Neurospora crassa OR74A: one gene and its partner. The main gene of each other region encodes a partner of the protein of the gene in region 2 in a complex. Links are inferred from orthologs where the notes say so. Each region holds a gene or a part of one and is shown on either strand. Other genes may lie near its edges.

The links. The genes of interacting proteins can lie anywhere in the genome.
Region 1: NCU08553 (region 2) and NCU04508 share a complex: the UniProt entries of both Saccharomyces cerevisiae proteins name them as parts of the RNA polymerase II (Pol II) complex. The link is inferred for Neurospora crassa OR74A from reciprocal best matches to the Saccharomyces cerevisiae genes RPB9 and RPC10.

What each region holds. Positions count from the first base shown.
Region 1 is NC_026504.1:3,138,920-3,145,846, reverse strand, and holds NCU04508 (hypothetical protein), read right to left. Parts: upstream 3,733-6,927; 5' UTR 3,402-3,732; coding exon 3,199-3,401; intron 3,112-3,198; coding exon 3,087-3,111; 3' UTR 2,643-3,086; downstream 1-2,642. Other genes in the region: NCU04507 (ATP binding protein), read left to right, coding at 1,222-1,294, 1,370-2,496; NCU04509 (HIT domain-containing protein), read left to right, coding at 4,362-5,066; gcy-3 (aldose reductase), read right to left, coding at 5,226-5,627, 5,703-6,189, 6,269-6,360. UniProt on the Saccharomyces cerevisiae protein: DNA-dependent RNA polymerases catalyze the transcription of DNA into RNA using the four ribonucleoside triphosphates as substrates.
Region 2 is NC_026503.1:4,946,259-4,952,447, reverse strand, and holds NCU08553 (DNA directed RNA polymerase II 15 kDa subunit), read right to left. Parts: upstream 2,673-6,189; 5' UTR 2,107-2,672; coding exon 1,849-2,106; intron 1,065-1,848; coding exon 975-1,064; intron 910-974; coding exon 865-909; 3' UTR 503-864; downstream 1-502. Other genes in the region: peptidyl-prolyl cis-trans isomerase ssp-1, read left to right, coding at 4,564-4,572, 4,641-4,913, 5,077-5,333, 5,550-5,559. UniProt on the Saccharomyces cerevisiae protein: DNA-dependent RNA polymerase catalyzes the transcription of DNA into RNA using the four ribonucleoside triphosphates as substrates. Component of RNA polymerase II which synthesizes mRNA precursors and many functional non-coding RNAs.

The DNA of each region.
Region 1 (6,927 bases), on a different chromosome or scaffold from region 2:
GCTTGGTTCCCGGCCACGCTGCCTCCTGGTAGTGCCGAACAGACGGATCTTGCCATTACGTTTGTGGCTTATTGGACCAACCCAGCTCCCATCACCCACCATTTTGAAGAGAATTTTGACGCAATAAGAGGCCACCGGCTGCGCCCACTCCCCAGCGCGGGACCACCGACCATACGCTTAGCATGGGTTTAGCGGTCATTGGCATTGGTGAATCGCCCCCGCCAGCATCCTGCCTATAGTTCCTGACCTTTTCCGAAGATGACGTGAGACGCCTTTTCTCCCATCGCTTATCCCGGTCTCGTTCAGCAGTATCAAATTGCCACTCGACGACTCCCCGAATTGTCCAAAAAGCATCCGTATCCGGCTTCATTGCTAGGCGTGAAAGGATTAGTTGAAACTGGACAAGTGGACAGACTTCATTGAACAATAGCCTGTGAGGTCGATGAAGCCTTCGGGGCTTGTCTGCCCGCGGCAAGTGCTATGCCATCCAGCCGTTGAGATCCTAAAATATCCAGGCACCCATAATACCGGGGTATAACTTGAAGAGCGGGACCGCCAAGTTACTAGGTCGAGTGTCGACTAGCTACTGCGGCGGTTGAGGGCTGTGGTATTCGCGGATTAACAGCGGCTCGGCTGAAAACAAGAAGCTGTCAAGCAGGCCATATGGGCTTTTGATATAGGCATGATAACAGGGTATAGGTCGCCAACTGATTTAGTTCCAAATTGGTAAAAAGATGATGGATGAGATGCGAGCCGGCCAGATATGGATTGGATGTCGAGGAACATGAAGGCGTAGGTAGTTGGAAGATGAATGGGTGAGAGGATGAAAAGAGACCAATGTCGAGGTTTCAGTCATTTCACTTTGGGGAAAACAAAATGCCAAGCCTTACCTACCCTTCACCCCACCCATGCCTTGATGGATGGAACCTTTCCGCCCGCTACGCCAGGCGATCAATGGACTTTGGTTTTTTTTTGTTTTTTTTTTTCTCTTGCGGTGTTGCCCCTCTGTGGCCCTCGGACATTCACTCCGTCGCAACCACCTATGACCATCCCTACAGCAGTGACCCCGCCGCTTACGACATCCGTGAAACTTTCTTCCCGAGACTCATTACAACACCATCTCTGCGCAAACTGAAATCTGCAACAACTTTGATTTTATCCGACAGATAACACAGAGATCACCAAACGATCTTCCACGCACCCGTGCACAGCTGTCGCACCATGGCTTCGACTTCGGCATCGTCTGCCGCCAAGGCTGACCAGCCTGTTGCCATCGTCTGCGTTGGCATGGCAGGTAGGTCTACGCATGCTCATGTTCTGTGCTTTTCCCAACCGCAAGCGGAATCATCCAGCTGACCATGTTCCCCAGGATCCGGCAAGACAACCTTTATGCAACAGATCAATGCCCATCTCCACGGAAAGAAGGAGCCTCCTTATGTCATCAACCTCGACCCAGCAGTCACCCACTCGCCCTTCGAGAGCAACATTGACATCCGCGACTCGGTCAACTACAAGGAGGTGATGAAGCAGTACAACCTCGGCCCCAACGGCGGCATTCTCACATCGCTGAACCTCTTTGCCACCAAAGTCGACCAGGTTCTCGGCCTGCTCGAGAAGCGCACGGCGCCCAAGCCCGACGACCCGACGCACACGCCCATCAAGCACATTCTCGTCGACACGCCGGGCCAGATCGAGGTGTTCGTCTGGTCCGCGTCGGGCCAGATTCTCCTTGAGTCGCTCGCCTCATCCTTCCCCACCGTCATCGCCTACATCATCGACACCCCCCGGACGAGCTCGACGTCGACCTTCATGAGCAACATGCTGTACGCCTGCAGTATCCTTTACAAGACCAAGCTGCCCATGATTCTGGTCTTCAACAAGTCGGACGTTAAGGACCCGGCTTTTGCAAAGGAGTGGATGACCGACTATGATGCGTTCCAGGCTGCGCTGCAGGAGGACGAGACCAACAACGCGTTTGGCGGAGCGGAGGGCAGCGGCGATGGCATGGGCTCGGGCAGCGGATACATGGGCTCGCTGTTGAACAGCATGAGTCTGATGTTGGAGGAGTTTTACGCACATCTGAACGTGGTGGGCGTCAGTTCGCTGTACGGGACGGGCATTGACGAGTTCTTTGCCGCGGTTCAGGAGAAGGCAGAGGAGTTCAAGCGCGATTACCAGCCTGAGCTCGAGAGGAGGCGCGAAGAAAGGGAGGAGAACAAGAAGAAGGCGCGGGAGAGGGAACTCAACAAAATGATGAAGGGAATGTCGATGGGCGACGCGGCGGGCGACGTCACAGTGGGTGACGTCAATGATAAAGAGGCCCCCGAGCCGTTGAGCACGGACGAGGAGAGCAGCGACGAGGAATATGGTGACGATCCCAACGACGAGTATGACCGCGAGGGATTGCAGGCGAGGTACGCCGCTGCCATGCAGGGCGAGGATGATTCGGTTTTGGCCGACGCAAGTTTTGCAAAGTACCTCCACAGCCAGAGGTGATGAGATTGGCCATTGGTAAGGAAAGGATTTATGGAGCAGTGTTGGCAAGACAAGTGATCGAGAGGGAAGGAGATTTAGCATACAACCGGCGTTTTCAGAGTGATACCATACCAATATTCTATATGGCAAAAAACATGATCAATAATGAGAAGCATCACAGAACGGATCCATCTGATGGTGATAGGTGATGATGACGATGATGAAAAGCAATGCTTTCTTTGTATAAATTCCCACAAGTCTACCGATATTTCCCAGAACGCCGCCATCATGATATTGTGATGAATATGATATCTCCCTTCTTCTGATCACAACAAGCCGTAGGTTCAAGGCTGGGCCATGCTAAGCCACCGCTAATGGTGCAAAATCACACCAAGATATCGACGGTTCGAGTCTCCTACGGTCCCAGCTCCCCTCGACAAATGTTCCCGTTGCCTCCAAGGCTGACTCGGCTCCCGTCCTTGGGCATCAGGACATCCCGGCCGGTCCAAATACGATGAAAACTTCAGCCCGATACGGCATCGAGGAAGAGCGACCCCTTTCTACACCTCCTTTGTTGGCCCCAAGTCGAACAAAGTCGAATAAGAAACCATTTACCGAGCCTCGAACTGAACCATTCTATTACCCCCAGACCGTCGTTAGCATAAGATTTTTCTCTCCCACCTTCTCAGAATCTTCCACCGGGTAAGCCCAAAGAAAACGTACCTCTTGGTGCGCTCCTTATACAAAACACGCGCACCGCACTTCTGGCAACGGATAGGAGCGCCCTTCTCGAGCGGCACGCGGACCGCGCAGTCGCCGCAAGTGTACCACATGACGCTGCTGCCACCGCTGTTGCCGTCGTTGTTAGAGGCACCGGTGGTGAAGCCCTGGGAGTTGGGGACCTGGTATTGCTCGCGGGAAGACATCTTGGTTGTTTGTGTTGTGTTGAGGGTGGTGTGGTATTTGTGGTTTGGGTTTGTTTGTCGTCGGGTTTGCTCGGATAAATTGGATGACGGTTATGCAACGTGTAAGATTGTCTTTGTGTTGAGGCGACGACAAATCGATGTTATGCGATTTATAGCGATATGCGACGATGATGTCGTTCGGTTGATGATGATGATGATGTTGAATATTTACCGGTGGAGTGGTTTGCGACGGACGAGAGGGACGGAGCGCTACCTATACAGGCGACTGAGTTTCAACTGGACGCGAACAACGAAAGGTAAAAAAAGGCGGGACGCTGAGGCAGAAAGTTCCAGACTTTGACAAAGGGTGACAGAAGCAGGCGGCGTTCGGACTTTGCGAATGCAAGTTACCCCTGTCATATCATGATAAATTCTCCACTCTTCTGTGGGTAGCTGTCAGCGCGGCAGGCAATTCCCCCACGTTTTCGGCGGAGTTTGGAGGCCGAGGTTGTTCGCGGCAGCCCTGGCGCCTCACCACTGCACACCACCGGGTCGATGCCCGCCGGCAAGCGGAGGTAAGACAGGGACGGGGAACGGGCCCGGTGCTTCACTTGTGTTTGGCTTTGGGGTCTTTTCAGATGCCGCCCCGGACCTCTCGTCCCGTACTTCACTGAGCTACTATTTAGTCATCAGCTAGAAATCATCATACAAGAGTCATTAGTGGTGTTTCCTTTTCGGATTTGTCACGGAGCAAGGCGTTCTTCTTGATTATTTGTTTGACATTCTGTCGCATTGGTCCTTGGTTACGGGGCGTACTCAGCAAACAATCATTCTCGGCATCATTACATAGCGAGATCAGCTTCACTCCTAGCCCTTGTCGAGATTTCCCTTGAGTATTTCTTCAGTTCAAGTTTAACTCGGGGCTCTTCGACATATACAATCGTTCAAACACATCACTACGTCATACGCCAGACTGCAGCCATGGCCTCTTCAACCGACAAGAAGCCACCAGCAACACCAGTTCCACGCTCCATCGTCCCCGACGCCAACACTTTCGACCCCAGCCTTCCCGCCTCCAAGACAGGCGCCGGCGCCACTAACACCTCATCCTCATCCTCCTCCGATACCCAACCCAACTGTCCCTTCTGCCACATCTCCTCGACCTTCCCCCCCTACCCCCCTACCACCCCCCCTTCTCCCTTCCCCCCCTCCACCTCCACCTCCCCACAACCACAAACCTTCCTCCTCCTCTCCACCCCCCTCCTGATCGCCTTCCTCGACATCATGCCCCTCTCCCCAGGCCATCTCTTACTCTGCCCCCGTCGGCACGCCGCCAAACTCACCGACGTTCTTCCCGATGAAGCCGCCGAATTGGGGCGTTACCTACGGATCCTCTCGGAAGCAGTGACGCGGGCGACGGGAATCAAAGACTGGAACGTGGTCCAGAACAACGGGTCGGCCGCGGCGCAGGTTGTTGAGCATATGCATTTTCATATCATTCCCAGGCCAGGGCTGAGGGAGGCTGAGAGATTTACGAGTACCATGTTTGGGAGGGGGAAAAGGGAGGATTTGGATGAGGACGAGGGGGAGGAGTTGGCGAGGAGGGTGAGAGGGTTTGTCACGGAGGTGGTTAGGGAGGAGGAGGAGGAGGGGGAGAGGGGGCTAAGGGAGAAAGCGAAGCTGTAGGGAGCGGGGTTGGTCGGAACGGATGTCACAGATGTGTGGTCACGGAGCATAGCCAGTCATTAATCTCGAGCGAGCATTTTCTGGTGTCATTATTCATTATTGTTCATCTATGGGGGGAATATCTTGCCAGCATCCTCTTGGCTGCACGGTGTACGACGCTTAGTCGCTGTCGCCAGCACCGAAGAAGATCTTGACAGGCAACCAGTCATCGCCGCAGACCTTGAAGCTGTTCTCCTTGTGAACCTCATCAATCTGAGCAATCTCCTCATCGGTCAAGCTCCAGCCCTCGAGATCAATGTTGGCCTTGATACGCTCCTCAGTGACGCTCTTAGGCAGCACACTCCAGCCCTTCTGGACACCCCATCTAAGGAGAACCTGCTGCACAGTCTTGCCCTTGGACTCGGCGAGCTTGGTGAGGCTGTTAAGCTTGTAAAGCGGCGAGTCGCTGCTACCGAGGGGCGAATAGGCCGAAGCATGAATGCCCTTCGAGCGCAGATACTCGACAAGGTGGGGGGACGGGTTACCAGGATGAAGTTCGATCTGGTTAACGGCGGGAACAATCTGTAATTATATGTGTGAGGTCCTCATCAATTCACAACAAAACTTGAAGAGGAGGAGGAGCACAATCTTGCTTACCTTGGTGCTCTCGGCGCTCAAAAGCTTCTCCAGGTTCTTGACGCCAAAGTTGCTGACACCAATGTTCTTGACCTTGCCGGTGTCAACCAGCTTCTGCATCTCGCGCCAGGTGTCCACAAAGTCCCAGTCGTTGTACACCTCCTTGGTGTTCCCCTTGACAAGACTGGCGGGCCAGTGCATCAGGTAGAGGTCAACGTAGGGGGTGTCCAGGTTCTTGAGCGACGTATCGATAGCCTCGGCGACATGCTTGTGCCAGTCGTTGTCCAGCTTGGTGGTGAGCCAGATCTTCTCGCGTGGGACGCCGGAGGCCTTGATGCCTTGGCCAACCTCCTTCTCGTTGCCGTAGGCATACGCGGTGTCGATGTGAGTATAGCCGGCACGTAGGGCGGCCTCGACGGCCTTCTCGACCTGACCAGGCTTGGACTGCCAGGTTCCGAGGCCAACGGCGGGGATCTCGTCGCCCGTGTTGAGCTTGTGAGTCTTGCTGCTGTTGACAGTTGTAAGCTCGGGTGAGCTTCTTCTAGGGGTTTCTCCTGGCACTTCATCCCCAAAGTAAAGGTACTTACAGAGGAGCCATGGTGTTTGTTTTACTGAAGAAATATCTGGCGGTGTTTGTGATGTTTGGTATTCTGGGAATTGCGCGTGAGACAGGCAACATGAAAGACAACAGAAAGTTTGAATGATTGAGAATCAACGACGACTGGAAGGGCAGTTCAACATGATTTATAAGGCTTGGAGCCCCATCTCTTAGTCAACCCCCACTTTCTCCTCCCACGAACGGTGGAGAGCCGATTCCTATCCGTTCCAATGTAATCTTCTCCATCATTCTGGTGCCTGTTTGTATTACTGTACGAACTGCCTTTGACGGATTGTGGCTCTCTATCCCACGCTTCTACATATGTGATGACGTTGATGGCAACCATAAGGTACCATAGCCCCGCACCTCCGGGGATAACAAAGAAGAGCAACCTAGCTTTATGCAAGTTCCAAGTTCCTGCAGGTTCCAAGGTCGGAGCGCAAACTGGGGGGCCAAACTCCAAATGGTGGGGGGACGCCGCTCTGTGGAGCGGATTGGGGACAACTGGCGCAGGTCCCGTCATAGCTAAGACGGGAAGGACGGGTAGCCCGGCCCGATGACCGGGGCTGGGAATCGCCCCGGAGTCAAAACGGGGATCGCTATAAGCCGGGGTCTTCCCGCCACTCGACAGTCCACAGACCTAAGACT
Region 2 (6,189 bases):
CTTGATTGATCGATCAGGGAGGATATATGTACGATGGATGTAGCGGGAGAATCAAGATGGAATGAAATATGAATACCCGTAAAGAAAAAGAGTTGAGTTTGTTGGGGTGGGATGTGGCGTGACGCTCCTTGAAGTGAAGAGGAGTATGCTCGGTGGGATGTGTCATTGCGGTGACTTGGTGACTCTCGTGGGGGGTTTGGGTGTCGGCTCAGCTTGGGTTGGCTGTGTTGAGGTAATGACTGACGATGAGCGCTACGGAACATCACTTTGTTGATATCTGACGGAACTGTGGTTTGTGTGTCTACGGATTTCCAGGATGGACTTGGGATGGCCTGGCGTATACGGGTTTGAGACTGCGACGTTGTTCTCAAGGTACGACGGCTTCACACACCGGACATCACACCAAAATATGGTCTCATCGAACGGCCTTTCTTCAAGCGCCATTTTGGGTAACGATCAGCCAGCAGCAGCCGTCACATCAGTCGATTAGGTTTACCAGTCACTTCAGTTCGGGACATCAAGCGTGCCGTCCTAATCTGTGTATACTACTGTACATTACATGTCATGTCAAGCAAAACAACATCACCATTGCATATCACACGAAACAGTTTATAACGTTATCCACGAGATTCATGGAAAGACCATTTCTAAACCAGTGTCCTGCCAAAGCATGAAAAAGAAAACCAAACGCCCTAAACCGCGGTCCTTTTGAGTTAACCGTGTACAAACGCCACTGTAATGCAACTCATCATGACCCCCTGATCTTTATTAATCAACCTGTGATTTTTTCCGACCGCCCGCCTGTCCGCCTATAACAAGGATCGATCTGGCCCTATTCCTTCCGAGTGAAGAGTGAATCCCCCACTACTGGTAAATATTACCACAATCGCAGCAGACGTAGAAAAGTTTCTGAAAGTAACGTTGTTAACCCATGACTCTGGTGAGCCCCTCCCAGGCAGGTGAGTGAGTCTTACCATTCCGGTTTCCGAAGTACGCTGCTGTGACTGGAAGAAGACAGCTTCCGGGTGGTGGCAGGCAGGGCATTCCTTGATGGCTCTTGGGAGCTAGATAGCAAACGAAAGAAGAAAAAGAAGAGATTAGTCTCGATGCAAGCCAGAGCAAATGACAAGAACAAGCCAAATCCAGGTCATCGCCTCGCGGACCAGACCCCGCCACCAGACGGACGGAGACTTTTGGGTATGCGCTGTGCTATGCTATGCCGTGCTGTGTGCCAGTCGTGTCGTGTGTCGGGTGCTGTAATCCCGAAGGTGGGCGAACAACCGCGCCGCCATGATTATAGATGTATTATAATCCTGATGTAATGGGTATGCCGTAACCGTAATCGCTGTGACCGTAAAATCAAAAAGTCGTAACCTCGTGAGAGCGGGAGATGCGTCGTCTGCCGGTCATGTCCTAAGCTGCCGGGACTTGAACAGGCAGTTGGCTTGATGCCGCCAACTCCGTGTCGGTGTCGTCGAGCTCCATGTTTTCAGACTCGATGGAGTCCTCCTCTTCTTCGTAGTCCTCAAAGGCGACCAAGTTGTAAAAGTACTCTTCGGCACGGACCCTGCCCATGGCCTCCCTCTCGCTGCTGTTGGAAGCCCAGACATGACTGTTATCGCTCATGTCGATCGTGGTGGCGGCCATCTGGTCGTACAGGGACTCGCAATCGCTGCCGGCTTCGGAGTCGGAGGGAGGGGCGGCAAAGTGGTTCGAACACAGCTCGATGACGCCACAGCACTGGCAGTAGATGTAGGTCGAACCGTCGGCGGGTCGGGGCAAGGTCGACGCAGGCGAGGCGACACCATCACCAACAGCAGCAGAAGAAACAGAAGAGACAACACCCACCGTGGGATCAGAGGCGACATCCTGCGTGACACCAGCCGTCTCGCCGGCAGCGTTGTTGAGGATGTTGCGGTAGATGCACGTCGACGTGGCGGGCTCGGAAAAGTTGCAGGTGCGGCAGGTGAAGAGCAGCTTGTTCTCGTCCTCGGCCTCGCGGGGGTACAGCATGTTGCTGCATTCGGAGCAGAAGCGGAACGTGATCTGCTCAAGGGGCTTCTTCTCCTTGGCGCCACCGGTGCTAGAAGGGGCGGGCGACGACATTTTGGTTGATATGTGTTGTGTGTGTTTTGTGTGTGTATTTGTGTGTGTGGGTGTAATAATAGTTGAAAGAGAAGGCGAAAGGAAGCAGAAAGGTTGTTGTGCCCGTTCCTTTGTGTGGGTGTGTGTTGATGGTGGTTGGTGTTGTTGGGTGAATGGTAGAAATGGATGGATGGATGGATGGATGGACGGATCGCTAATTGAATGCTTGACGATCCCAAGGATGGGCTTGGTTGGCTTTCCTTGTCGGGTGGCGGAAGGATGCAAAAAACTGCTAGTGTAGTGTAGTCAAGTGGAAGTTGAATACTAAGTAGTAGTAAGCTAGTAACAGCAATTGGATCTGATACTTGTCAGCAGTTCAGAGTTAGGTGTTGCTAAAGAGGAAGAAGTTCGTCCGTGGGAAAATGAGAGTCCCAAGATGATTTTAAAAGATGGTGGAAAGAGCCGGAGGTGGAAAATGGAAAATGGAAAATGGAAAATAAAAAAGGCACTGCAGGTGAAGTGGAAGGCCAGCCGAGGAAATGACCAAGAAAGGCGTGGGTGAGGCACGACAACTCCCTCCCACCGACTGCAATGAGTGCTGTGCTGCAGTGAGCAGTCACGTTCGGTCGGGGAGGGATCCATCCAAGTGTCCAGGTGCCAACTGTAATTGCCCTGCCGGCCGGAGCAAAACAGCCCTGGGACCTTGGAAAATCGGGGCCCAAGGAGGGTGACAAGGATGGCTGCCACTGCCAAACCCCTTCACCGCCTTGCCGCTTTGGGTGAAGTCACGGTCAGGGGCAGAACACTGGACAGGCGGGACTCCAGGCTGCAAGTAACAGGCCAGTCAGACCGAAAAGTGTTGCTTGTTGCAGACCATTATTTGGCAAAGCCTCGATTTGGATGCCCGGTTTCGCATGAGCCATGATTCGTTGTGTTTTTATTGCCGACGGAGACCCGAGTGTATCAAACCGCCTCGATCCAAACTTGTCAAGTTCAATTCACTGGAGCGCCATGCATGCTTCCCTCCCCAAAGTGTCTTGTTCTTGGTGTCCTGTCTCGAGTAAACGGGCGAGGACAAGACGCAGTCAACAGGGACCGATACACCATTACAGCGCATCAGGGGCTTCAGGTCTCACACAAAATGACAAGAGAGTACACACTACTGGAATCCACAACGACGTCATGGAGTTGACCACGAGCACCTGTCTGTTAAATGTCATGAGGCTTCAGAGGGGATGGACGCCTTTGTAAATATTTATCATCGTATGTAATATGGATAGTCTTTTGTTGAAAAATTCATCTCGATGTGCCAAATCCTCTCTCTCCTCCCGCCCACCCGTGACCCCAATATTCAAGGGCACAGCAAGTCCGTGTGTGGCACCCACTCTATGCACGGAGAATCACGAGGCCCCAAGGAACTGTTGCGTGGGGTGTCCCGATGCAGCAGCAACTGACGACGGATCGAGAAAGTGTGGATGGCTCATGAGAGGGCGACGAGGATCATGGTGCTCATCCGATGCTACACAGCACACGACCGGGCTGCAGGTTCGCAGCTTTGGTTCCTGTTGTCGAGAACCAACGGGCCGGTACTTCAAGTCTTTCATGTTTGGTGAGGTGTGACCTTTTTGATGAAAACAAAGTATAAAAAACCAGCATGAATTGTTAGTACAACTGGTATCAGTTCAAGTGGCTTCCATAACTCAACCTAATTCATCTCAAATAGAGAACTAAATGAGGCCATCAAGGTGATAAAGAATACTAGAGGTAAGCAAGCAGCCTCAAGCTGACCAAGCAACAACTCGGAGGATGGCAGTGGCACCCACACGAGGACATGTCGACAAGGACAAGAACCTGCTGGGCTTGCCACACCATCCCACTAACAAGATGGTGCCCCTGACAGCTCCGTCCCCGCGAACGAATCCCCAATCGCGGAAAACACAACGGGCGGTACTATGGTACCTATGTACCTGTCCCCTTGCCCGACCCCGCTCCCCCAGAGAAAGTCCCCGCTTTTTGTGCCTTGTGAGGTGTGGAGCCGCCGACAAGCTGACGTCCCTGACGACGGAGAGCTCCATTGCCTAGAACCGGGAGAGTCTTGGCCGGAGTGGTGCTGGATGTTTCTCTGCCTGTTCCTCCTTCCCCCCCCGCCGTTGCCAGGTGATCTAAAAAGTTCAATTCTCCCTTTGTCAATTTCTCCTTCTGTTTTCCATCTCTCCTTTTTGTAGTCGCTTTCTAATTCTCATTGTCGAAGCTCTACCGGCGCAACTCAAGGTACGTCACCATGCCCCTCGCTGGTTGATCACGCGAGTCGCAATTGCGCCTGAACCTCCTTCTCCCCGTTGACATCGCGACCGCCACAAGGCTATCCGCCTACAGTACTCGAGGACTAAGCTACTTACTGACCGCGAACCGCATCGTGCTCTCACAGAACCGACCTACGAACCAATCACCACTACAACCACCACCAAAACCGTCATAATGTCCAACGCAAGTCAACCCACCACTCGCAACATCCAGAACAACAGAGCTGACCCCCCCCCTTCCCCCCTTCCCAGACCATCGAGACCGGTCTCCCCGAAGACTGGGAAGTCCGCCACTCGCAATCCAAGAACCTGCCCTACTACTTCAACAGCGCCACCAAGACCTCTCGCTGGGAGCCACCCTCGGGCACCGACGTCGACAAGCTCAAGATCTACATGGCCAAGTACCACTCGCCCACGAGTCAACAGCAGCAACAACAACAGCAGCAACAACCACAGGGAAAGATCAGGTGTGCGCATTTGCTGGTCAAGCACAACCAGAGCAGGAGGCCCAGTTCTTGGCGCGAGGTGAGTCCCCTTCCCGTTGTCCATTTCAAGTTGCGTCCGGAGTGCCTGGTGTTTGTTGTTGCCTCCGGCGGCCCCTCCGGGGAGGCTCCTTCGGAGGGCTGCTCGCTGCGCTCGTTTTGTTTTTCTTTCTCTCTTTCTGACCGTCGCTAACCACCAATGACAGTCCGAGATTACCCGCACCAAGCAAGAAGCCCTCACTACCCTGCAAGGATTCGAACAGCGCATCAAGTCCGGCTCCATTTCCCTCGGCGAGCTGGCCCTGACCGAGTCCGACTGCTCCTCTGCTCGGAAGCGGGGTGACCTCGGCTACTTTGGACGCGGCGACATGCAAAAGGAGTTTGAGGATGCCGCTTTTGCGTTGAAGCCTGGCGAGATCAGCGGCATCGTGGACACGGCTAGTGGGTTGCATTTGATTGAACGGTTAGTCGACATTTCTTTTCCTCGAAGAATCAGAAGAAGGAAGAGAAGAAGAAGGAGGGTACGGAGAGTATATTGGAGGTGGACGTGTGTTGCGGTTATCTGGTGGTGTGTGGTGACGGCCGCCGCTACTACCGAGTGACACCAGTCGCTGGCAAGACGGACATCATTCGTGAACGAACAAAAGTTTGCTGACGACGACATTGGGGAATGGTACAGGCTCGAGTAGGATCCCGATACGCCACGACGATCAATAATGACCACTGCCTCTGATAAAGAGGAACATCAAAGGGCGCTGAGAGCGTGCATGATAGTATAGGGAAGACGAATTAGGGATTTTGCTTCGAGCGCGGCGCTTTGCGATGGTACGAAGGAGAGGAGGAATTCGAGGGATGAGACCGGGAACACAACTCTTTATATCGGAAACCCAAAAGATGATGGCCGCGATGACGCATTACGCCATTATGCGGTCACTGGAACTTTGATATTGTCGGATTACTGTACGTAGTACGAAAAAGGCAACAAAAGGCTAGGTAGAAATATCTGGGTTCTCCTGGCTCAAGTGCGGATAGGGGGGAAACCCAAAGGAAAACAGCCGGATAGGAACAAAAAGAATAAAAAATAAAAAGCAGACAAAATAAAACATTTCACATTTCGAGACACACACACAATACACAACGGGGACCTAACATGGTCCAATGCCCCAAGTAACTAAGCGACGGCCAGGCAAGCACCCCAAGTGATTCCTAGCTTGAGTACTAGCTATTTACTTAGATTACCTCCGATCCCCTCTCTATGTGGCTGGCTGGGGTTCGAGACCTAGGAAGATGGAAAGACAGAATCGACATGTCTGGAGCTA